2 linked regions of the Arabidopsis thaliana genome follow. The protein of the gene in region 1 interacts with the protein of each later gene in a pairwise test. Each region holds a gene or a part of one and is shown in the gene's direction. Other genes may lie near its edges.

Region 1 (4,135 bases):
CATGTCCCAGAATCCTGCATTTGAGCCACAATATTAGACATGATAAAAAACAATTGATTCCAATAGCTAAATAATTCCCTGATAGCAAAGCTGAAAAACTAGGTAGAGGAAGATATCACCACACACCTTTAATAGCAACCTCGCGGAAGTTAGATTTGGTGTTTGAGTAAAGCCTCTTCCAATCATCTAGAACCATAGGGCTTGGTGGTAGCAAGTCAAGAGGGTTCTTGGCTTTGGGCTTTGGTGCCTCTTCCTCTTCAGCAAGCTTAGGTGCCTCTGCTACTGGGGCTTCCTTTTTCTTAGGCTCTTCTTTGGGCTTTGCAGGCTGGGCAGCTTTCTTGGAAGCAATAGGAGGGACAGCTTCAGTCTGTTTGACATCACCCAACACTTTAGTGAAGTTTGGTTGGTTAACCACAGTCCAGAAGTACCTCTCAACATGAGGAAATTCAGAGGTAAATTTCTTGGTCATGACAGTAGCAAATCCCAAGTTCAAGTTGCAGACAGTGATGATATCAGCAAGGGTAATAGAGTGTCCGACAAGGTAAGTGTTAGACGTGAGATGTGTGTTCAGAGCATCAAGTGCTCTCTTCAACGTAGAGATCGCACCTTCTTCAGCCTTCATTTATATAACAATCACGGATGAGACTATTTATATAGTGAAAAGAATACCTAGATTGCCATCACAAAGAGTGAATGAAACAACCAATGAAAGTCAAAAAAGCTTACCGGAGCACTGTATGGCATAAAGCCCATTCTTGGGCCGAACCACCTCAAGATACTTGCATAGATCTCCAATGAAGAGAAATCAATCCATTGCTCAATTTGTGCCTGCGAAAAAACAACATGCAGATAACCATTGAGAATACTAACAAATAGAATGACAAACAATAGAAGAGGTGTCAATGGATTAGAGAAGAGTAGCCCCCAGGGAAAAAACAGCTACTTACATATTCGATCAGGGAGGATCCGTTCAAAGAGTTGTCACCATTCAATCGGCTTACTGTATTGAGATATCAACAGATCCATTAAACCCAAACGACAACAAGCAATCAAACTAGACACTGAGAGACAATTAAAGGAGAAAGTTATGAATGCTTTACCATAACGGGCAATTGCGTTGCTTTCAAATACTGAACCCTCGGGAGTCTCAAGTACAGGAACCTAGCAAGATCAATAACTCTTGGTTAGCTGAAAAATAGACTTAATAATACTCAGTCCAGAAATTTAGCAAACACCAGTGATGACAAACCTTTCCAATAGGGTTCATCTTGAGGAACGCAGGGGTTTTGTTAGTGACACCCATCTGAAAGTCAGAGGGCACATCGATCTGCACACCAACGTACTCTGCTGCAATGAGTGCCTTCTCAGCACTTTTGTTTCCCTTGTACGTGTGCAAGACCTGCAATCGTAATTCATCATCAGCACAATAATACGTATTCCAAATCAATAACTTAACAATAGAGTAGCTACATATCCAAACTAACATAATTTTAATCAATTTGGTGTATGAACAATCGTTCTATAAACTTAGATCCTAAAATTTACAAATCTAACGTTTCTACAATTATATCGATACATGATGCGATCGTAACAGTAGACAATCATAGAGAACTCACCAAAGCCATTGCTCAGACGGAATTCAAGCGAACTTGGGGCTTCTGATATCGGATCTGGTTCCAAGGAAAAAAAATCAAGCAGTGAGCTCGCAATTGACATGATCATAAATATGAATATGAGCTAACTGGAGAAAAAAAGATTGTTCGATCGATGGATCTTACCAGATATTCTGAAGAATCTTCCGTGAGAGCAAATCGAGAGAGAAGAAGCAAAAAGTTGAGGCGGAGAAAAGCTATAAAGGAGTGTTGAAGGGATGATGATGAAGAAGTAGGGTTTTTAAAATCTGTATTGAGTGTATTCCTCTGGTTTGGCTCGGTTTTGTTTGGTTTTATTTCTGATTTTTGTTTATTTTCCGGTTAAGCTCTAATTACTTTCCCTTTTATTAGCATGTATAAATGAATTACATATATGTAGGCTTTTTTAGTAAGCCCAACTTGACAAGAAAAGGTCTTCGTCGTTGGGCAATAACAAGCCGAGAAGGTTGAATAGAGAAGATCCAAGGGGAAAGAGAAATTAAATTATTTATTTATTTCTGTCATCTTCTCCTTTTCTATTTCAAAATCCCAAATCTAAAGCACTCCTCGAGAAAAGTGTAACAATGGCGAGAAGACCGGACGAAGAATACGACTACTTGTTTAAAGTGGTTTTGATCGGAGACTCCGGTGTCGGCAAGTCTAATCTCCTCTCTAGATTCACTCGCAACGAGTTCTGCTTAGAATCCAAATCCACCATTGGTGTCGAATTCGCTACTCGTACTCTCCAAGTACGCACACATCTCTCTCTATATATATAGTATATAGTGTAATCGAAATGTTGCTGGATCTAGGTTTAGTTCTAAGTTAAGCAGCATCCGGTGCTTTTCGATTCGATCCGTATCTGTGTTCGTATGAATACTCGGAAGCAGTCATTGTGTGTAGGAACATTTGGGCTTGGTTTTGAATTTTGATGTTTACATGTGTGGTGCCTGTTTTTTTCATTTGGTCGAGATTTTTGCTTTGGTATCTCTTAATTTAAGCGTTTTATTGATAATGTTCCCAAATTTGTCGATACTCTGGTACGTGGTAGTGTAAGGCTCCCTCACATGTCAGATCTAAAACCTTGTTTAAGGCAGATCTAAGAATCTCTTCATCTGAAATTGATCTCGAACATGATTTTCTTTTGAAGTATGAATCATGGTTGTTGTTTCACAGTTTCTAGTTTTCTTACTGGGTTGTTTGTGGAATTTAGCTGCGAAGTTACTAATTTTGTTGTTGCAGACACACTAATCATAGAGTCTGCTGCTCATTAGATCTGAATTAACCTATTAAAAAACCTATGATCTTTGTTCTAAGGTGGAAGGAAGGACTGTGAAAGCTCAGATATGGGACACGGCTGGGCAAGAACGATACAGAGCCATAACTAGCGCCTATTACAGAGGTGCACTTGGAGCTCTTTTGGTCTATGATGTCACCAAGCCAACAACGTTTGAGAATGTAAGCAGGTGGTTAAAAGAACTAAGAGACCATGCAGATTCCAATATAGTGATCATGTTGATTGGGAACAAGACAGATCTGAAGCATCTCAGAGCAGTTGCCACAGAGGATGCTCAGAGCTATGCAGAGAAAGAAGGCTTATCTTTCATCGAGACATCGGCTCTCGAGGCATTAAACGTAGAAAAGGCTTTTCAGACGATTCTCTCGGAGGTTTATAGGATCATCAGCAAGAAGTCGATATCTTCAGACCAGACAACTGCAAATGCCAACATCAAGGAAGGCCAAACAATTGATGTGGCTGCTACTTCTGAATCAAACGCTAAGAAGCCTTGTTGCTCATCGTCTTGAAAGGCTTTGTTTGTGTTGCACTTAAAAAAAGCCAAATATCTATGAGACTTTATTTCAAGGCTTGCGTTGTATTTGTTTTCTTTCTTTTTTCTGTTGTTGATAATATAACTCAAAGATAATTTTTTATATCAATTGTGGAGTTCGGAATCGTTCACACAAAACAAATTTTGGAAACGAAAAATATTTTTAGGGAATTAATTGTAGTTTTGAGTGGTAGTTGTAATGTAGTATCAGAAAAATAAGCAGAGTATAAAATGAAATAAACAAATACCAACGTAGACTATAGTTTGAATTTTTAATAGAGCAGAAATTCTTCGATTTCAAAGATAATTTAAATAAAGTAGACAAAATCACACAATATACATTTTTCAATCAAGAAGAAATGGAAAAGCAAAGAAAGGAAGTTAATTAAAAAAAAGGGGGAAAAAAAAAACGGAAGTCAACAAGAATACAGGCAAAACCAAAAATATATATTTGACGGAACAAAAAAAACAAAATATATATTTTATAGTATTAGTTTATGACATTATCTTTTTGCTAGTTTATGAGATTTATGAAGAAAAGGAAATATACTTTTAAAGTTGATAAATTGAAAAAAATTAGAAGAATGATTTACTTTTATTTTAGTTATTTTCTAGCAAGTTTTTTGTCAAAATGGTAAATTTCCAAGTCTTTCGAGTAGTTCCCGCCTCCTATAA
Region 2 (6,041 bases), on another chromosome or scaffold:
CAACATAACCATCATGAAGCCAATTACTAAGAAAAAGCAACAAAAGAAAGAGATAGATACAGAGAAAAGAGAAAATACTTGAGCAAGTTGGGACTGAGTCAGCTTCTTGTCTTCTCGGGCTTGCATGATGGCTTTCTTCAACTTAGTGGGCACACGATCACCTGATTTTAAAACCATATAAAGGTGTTAACGATAACCAGCATTACGAATCAATCAAACACATATGTAGACTTCCTCTCGCTAATAATGCAAACTGAAGAAAATATTAATAACCCAAGAGAACAGACTAGATTACTAGAATGACTGTACCCAAGCAAAAGCTGGTTCTTATGGGATCCAAATCAACAACACTGATCCCCATGCAACAAACAATAAAACGAAACAGATCAATCAGATAACTTCTTCGTTTTCTAAAGAACCAAATCATCTACACAACTAAATCAATCAAAGCTTAGTCATCTTCCTATCTGACAATGCTCTGATTCGAGGGAACGAAGCAAGGGTTTGGTGGGAGATTGGATTTGGGACAAACACATATAGAATTGGGTCATCGATTTGGTGAAACGAACTCGGAATGGTGAGCAGCGTCGAGAGAGACGACCAATAGAGAGAGTGAGAAAATTTCCCGACGGAATGAAAAATAAAGACACAAGGATTTTTTGTTGGTTAAATATATCAACCAACCACTGACTGCCACGTAGGAGGCTCTCTCCAGAATTATTTGTTTTGATTATTTTTAATCAACAACTTCAAGAGAACCCTATCAAATTGTGATACTCATATCATGACACTGACAAATAAAAGAGACCATGAATATGGTTAGGCCATATGCGATATGGCTTCAAAAACCAAGTTGGGACAATCTTATGTTTAGTCTTAAGTTTGAGTTCATTTTAATTCATTTTAGATACTATTGTTTGATGTAAAATTAAACTTTGATAAATAAATGTACCTAAATTTGGATTGATTTTTTCATAATCATGTTTAAAATTTTTGGTGTTATGCAATTCTGTTTTGTTTTGTTTTTCCATAATAAGCATCTGAACATTTTTACAATATTTATATATTTTAAGAAACTGAAGTTTTAAGATGTATTAATCTACATTAACCTTTTCTATTTTAATGTTAACAAATATTATATATTATAAGTACAATATTCATCAAATACTATAACATATATGTGAAATGTAAATATTTACTACTAATCAAATATCATACTGCATATTTGATTGCAAAAGAGCTAAAAATCATTAATATTGCACATTAAAAATAGTCAATAAACTAAAATCATTAAATACACAAATATATCATAACACAGCAAGTGTGTACCATTATTAATCAATAGATTTACGCTATACAAGTTTTCCGAATTATGTATGTGAAATAAATCACACCAAAAAAATGTATTTGAAATGAAAAAATTCCCCGCCTCTGTAATTTAAGTTTTTTAGATTAAAACAGCTAAACTCTTTTCATTAATTTATTAGAGATACAAGATATTGTTATTTGTTACCAATACCAATATGTAAATTTTTCTGAGTAATTATTATAATTAGTTGAATTTGGCTACCATATGCCAATTTTCAACACATAAAATTCTTTTAAACGTGAAAATTCCAATAATCTAAGAGCCAACAACCACGAAAATTAAACCTCGTTTTAGTCTAAACTCTAAAATGAGAAATAATTAGAAACCAATAAAGGCTCTTAAAGAAAGACTAGGTCAAGTTCAAAGCAAGTTTTGCTTTGTGTGGTGGTCGTCGTCTCTTTCTTTAAACACACTTGTTTTTTTCTTTTTCCTTTGACCACTCCAATATAAACAACCAAGAACCAGTGTTCCTCGTCCATTCACTCTCTCGTAATCACACACACACTCACTCATACGAAGCCAATTGTTCCACACAAATTGGAAGCGACGACAATGGAGCCGAAAGAGAACGGCTCAGAATTGGGTCAGAAGATCATTGACGGACCAACGAATCCAATGGTCACACCTTTACTCAATGATCTTTATCAATTCACCATGGCTTATGCTTATTGGAAAGCTGGCAAACACAACGAACGATCCGTGTACAACACACAATCTCTTCTCATGCTCTGCTTTTGATGTTGAATTCTGAATGGTTTTGTATATTTGAAATTGTTTTTGTTTCCTTTTCAGTTTCGATCTGTATTTTCGTAAGAACCCATTTGGTGGTGAGTACACTGTGTTTGCTGGATTAGAAGAGTGTGTTAAGTTCTTAGCCAATTTCAAATTGACTGATGAAGAAATCGATTTCGTTCAAGAGTGTTTGCCTGGATCTGAGGTATATCAAAAATCTGTTTGTTTTTAGATTGTTATTGATTAAAGTTTGGATTTTTAAATCAGGGTTTTATGTTTGTGATTCAAATTAGGAAGCTTTTTGTGATTATCTTAGAGGGCTTGATTGTTCTGATGTTGAAGTTTATGCAATTCCGGAAGGATCAGTTGTTTTTCCTAAAGTACCTCTCATGAGAGTTGAAGGACCTGTTGGTGTGAGTCTCTTTGTCTCTTTCATTTGTGAAGATTGTTTAAGGAATAGTTTTCTTGAATGAATGATTCATCAGTTGTTGTAAAATCTCCATAGGTTGTTCAATTGTTGGAAACTCCATTCCTCAATCTTGTCAATTTTGCATCTTTGGTAGCTACTAACGCAGCTAGGCATCGCTTTGTTGCCGGAAAATCTAAGAGTCTACTCGAGTTTGGTGCTCGAAGGGCTCAGGTTTCCTATAAATCTCTCTCTTGTTTTTTGATATATTGCCTTTTGTGTTGTTCTTTCCATCTCTGTCTGATGTTATTAGTGTTGGAATCTTAGGGTCCGGATGGTGCAATAAGCGCATCAAAATATTGCTACCTTGGAGGTTTTGATGCAACAAGGCAAGTCTTGCTTTTTGTTTTTGTTGATCTGGAAGTAGGTGAAAGGGAATGTGGAAATGATGTGTTTTGTGTTGTTGGGTATTTTGCCAATGACAGTAATGTAGCAGCTGGAAAACTTTTTGGGATTCCTCTTCGTGGAACACACTCTCATGCTTATGTTAGCTCATTCATGGTCAGTTCACTTCAGCCAAAAGTTTCAATTTTTATGTGGAGGTTACATACTTGAGTTAGCTAGTAGAGACGATAACACAAAGTTTCGTGAAAATAAGATATTCTTGTCAATGCCTTTGTTGCTATAACTTTATTAGCCATGGTTCTGATGCACACTTAATATCCTCGCTCATAACAATATCACAAAAGCATTTTCGATATAATTAGTTAACTTTGGATTGCAGAGTACTGATGAGATTGTTGACAAAGTACTTCGTAGTGCTGATGGGAAAACCACGTGCGAGGATTTTGTTAGTCATGTTCAGACATGGTTAAAAAAGATTCAGGTTTGTTTATTGCACATTTTGCTCTTCCTCTTCCTGTTTTCTAGTCTCAGGACCATTGTTCTATTTCTGCTTCAACCCTTTGCTTGAATCTTTGTCACAGTTTTTCTTATGTTTTGTTTCTTTGTGGATGACAGTATTCACCATCTCTAAGTGGCATTTTCTCTGAGACAAATCAAAGCGAGCTAGCAGCTTTCACCTCATATGCACTGGCATTCCCCAAAACTTTTCTTGCCCTCGTAGATACATACGATGTGAGCATTAAACACCATAGTAGATAGCTCATTTGAGCCTTAGGATTTCTAATAAACTCTTATATTAGTGTTTTGCTGACTGTTTTACAGGTGATGAAGAGTGGAATCCCTAACTTCTGTGCAGTTGCTTTAGCACTCAATGACTTTGGGTGTGTAAGAATCTCTTATCAATACCCGATCGTCTGACTTGACTTTGTACTTCTTCAGGATCATATGGAATTTGAGATGCAATTGATGTTTATTGTGCTGCGCAGATATAAAGCATTAGGTATTAGACTGGATTCAGGTGATTTAGCTTATCTATCTAGAGAGGCCAGAAATTTCTTCTGCACGGTAGAGAGAGAACTAAAAGTGCCTGGTTTTGGGAAGATGGTCGTCACTGCTAGTAATGATCTAAATGAAGAGACGATTGACGCTTTAAATAAACAGGTGACTCCCTAACCCACTCTCAAATGCCATGCCCCCGAAAGATTGATTATTATTAAGCAGTGTTTTTTCTTTCATCTCTATAGGGACATGAGGTGGATGCTTTTGGCATCGGGACCTACTTGGTCACTTGCTATTCACAAGCGGCCTTAGGTTGCGTTTTCAAACTTGTGGAGATAAACAATCAGCCTCGGATTAAACTTTCTGAAGATGTTACAAAGGTTAAAACTCTCTCTCTCTCTCTTGGTGTTCTGAACATTCAATGTCACATTGCACTTAATCTGATTATCATTCTGATTCGTTTAGGTATCAATACCGTGTAAAAAGCGAAGTTACAGATTATACGGCAAAGAAGGTTACCCTCTGGTAGATATAATGACTGGAGAGAACGAACCACCTCCAAAGGTAAAACGAAAGATAACTCTCTCAAAGATTTTAATCTCATTACCTTATTGCATTTTTACATAATATCTTTCTTGATATCAAAGGTTGGTGAGCGTTTACTTTGTCGTCACCCATTCAACGAATCCAAAAGAGCATATGTAGTGCCACAACGTGTCGAAGAGCTCCTCAAATGTTATTGGCGTGGAAGTGCAGGTAAAGATTTTCCGGTACCGTAGAGTTATTAATGACAATGCTTTTCACTGATTATTGTTTCTCTATACCAATGAAGATGAAGCAAGAGAAGTATTACCGCCTTTGAAAGAGATAAGAGACCGTTGCATCAAACAGCTCGAAAACATGCGACCTGATCATATGAGGAGATTAAACCCAACTCCTTATAAGGTATGGTTTTATCCGACAAACATGTTTTTCAGTTTCTGAGAAATCTGTGTAAATGTTTTTTTCTCTCATGGTTTACAGGTTAGTGTAAGCGCAAAGCTGTACGATTTCATCCACTTCTTATGGCTAAACGAAGCACCTGTTGGTGAATTGCAGTGACAGAACAACCAAAAAGAAGAATCTGGTTTTGGTTTGGTGTAATGTATATAATTTATATACCACAGCATCACAAATATGCATTTTTTTCACTTTTAGTTTCTTTTTCTTACAACATTTTGATGATCTCTCATTGTCGTAGTAAGTTTCATTTTCTTACTGAGGAAAGAAACTCTCTGCGTTCACTGGAACTTTGTTTTCAACTGATTCAATAAGATTTTATATTTACAGCTGTAAACATACTGGAGACTGTAAAAACATTTACTCAAGTCAACGATTTTGGATCAGGTTTAGTTTCGTCATATGGTTGACAACTTACTGTTGCAAACGGATTGGTAAGCAGTTGAGTTAATTGAGTTTTTTCTAGCAGAGATTTGAAGAACATTACCTTTCTTCAAAAACTTCTTTAGGCGTTACTAGGACGTTTGGGGTGGACCTAGTCACTAACCACATATTCAAAATTCATTTCCAAAAAGATGAATTATGGAATATGAGAATAGAAAAATACAACAGAGTAAATGAGGAGTAAAACTTTATTACAGAAACTTACCAAACAGTAAAAAAAAATATGGAATATAAGGAAACCATTACTTAACGAAAAATCACTTAACAAGAATACAAGATGACTAAAAATGACAAGACGATAATCCATCCAAATTGAGGTTAAAAACAAGTGATAGTTTTGGTCTTATACAACAGAGTTATACAAGTGTAACTTTGAATTCTTATGGTCTCCAAATAGCCATGGCTTCGAGGGCAGGGCACTCGATATGGGCGTGGGTTTTCTTGGATGAAAGTTAAATTTGTTGATATAAAAGAAACACATAGTATACACAAAACTGGTCGGGACCAATACTCTTTTTTTTTTTGGCTCCGTTCATATTTTCAAAACAACAATTCTTTAGTGAAAATTAATAGATTGATTAAAGAAAAAAATGTTGAGAAAACATGAACTTTCATATTGTTGACGAAAAAAACATGAACTTTTCAAATGTCATTTAAATCCTAAAGTTTAGTTTGACTTCTTAAAAA

Evidence for each region.
Region 2: the proteins of RAB11c (region 1) and NAPRT2 interact in a two-hybrid assay, tested with the Arabidopsis thaliana proteins (one large-scale study listed by BioGRID).

Annotation. Positions count from the first base shown.
Region 1 is NC_003070.9:3,117,652-3,121,786, reverse strand, and holds RAB11c (RAB GTPase 11C), read left to right. Parts: upstream 1-1,971; 5' UTR 1,972-2,215; coding exon 2,216-2,380; intron 2,381-2,948; coding exon 2,949-3,437; 3' UTR 3,438-3,632; downstream 3,633-4,135. Other genes in the region: AT1G09640 (Translation elongation factor EF1B, gamma chain), read right to left, coding at 1-14, 127-616, 727-828, 948-1,000, 1,101-1,161, 1,250-1,399, 1,617-1,625. UniProt on the Arabidopsis thaliana protein: Intracellular vesicle trafficking and protein transport.
Region 2 is NC_003071.7:9,969,898-9,975,938, forward strand, and holds NAPRT2 (nicotinate phosphoribosyltransferase 2), read left to right. Parts: upstream 1-1,705; 5' UTR 1,706-1,921; coding exon 1,922-2,070; intron 2,071-2,161; coding exon 2,162-2,306; intron 2,307-2,394; coding exon 2,395-2,514; intron 2,515-2,606; coding exon 2,607-2,741; intron 2,742-2,834; coding exon 2,835-2,896; intron 2,897-2,992; coding exon 2,993-3,068; intron 3,069-3,291; coding exon 3,292-3,393; intron 3,394-3,527; coding exon 3,528-3,644; intron 3,645-3,734; coding exon 3,735-3,793; intron 3,794-3,898; coding exon 3,899-4,073; intron 4,074-4,156; coding exon 4,157-4,291; intron 4,292-4,376; coding exon 4,377-4,475; intron 4,476-4,558; coding exon 4,559-4,667; intron 4,668-4,743; coding exon 4,744-4,856; coding exon of another isoform or gene 4,857-4,895; exon of another isoform or gene 4,896-4,934; coding exon 4,935-5,012; 3' UTR 5,013-5,310; downstream 5,311-6,041. UniProt on the Arabidopsis thaliana protein: Catalyzes the first step in the biosynthesis of NAD from nicotinic acid, the ATP-dependent synthesis of beta-nicotinate D-ribonucleotide from nicotinate and 5-phospho-D-ribose 1-phosphate.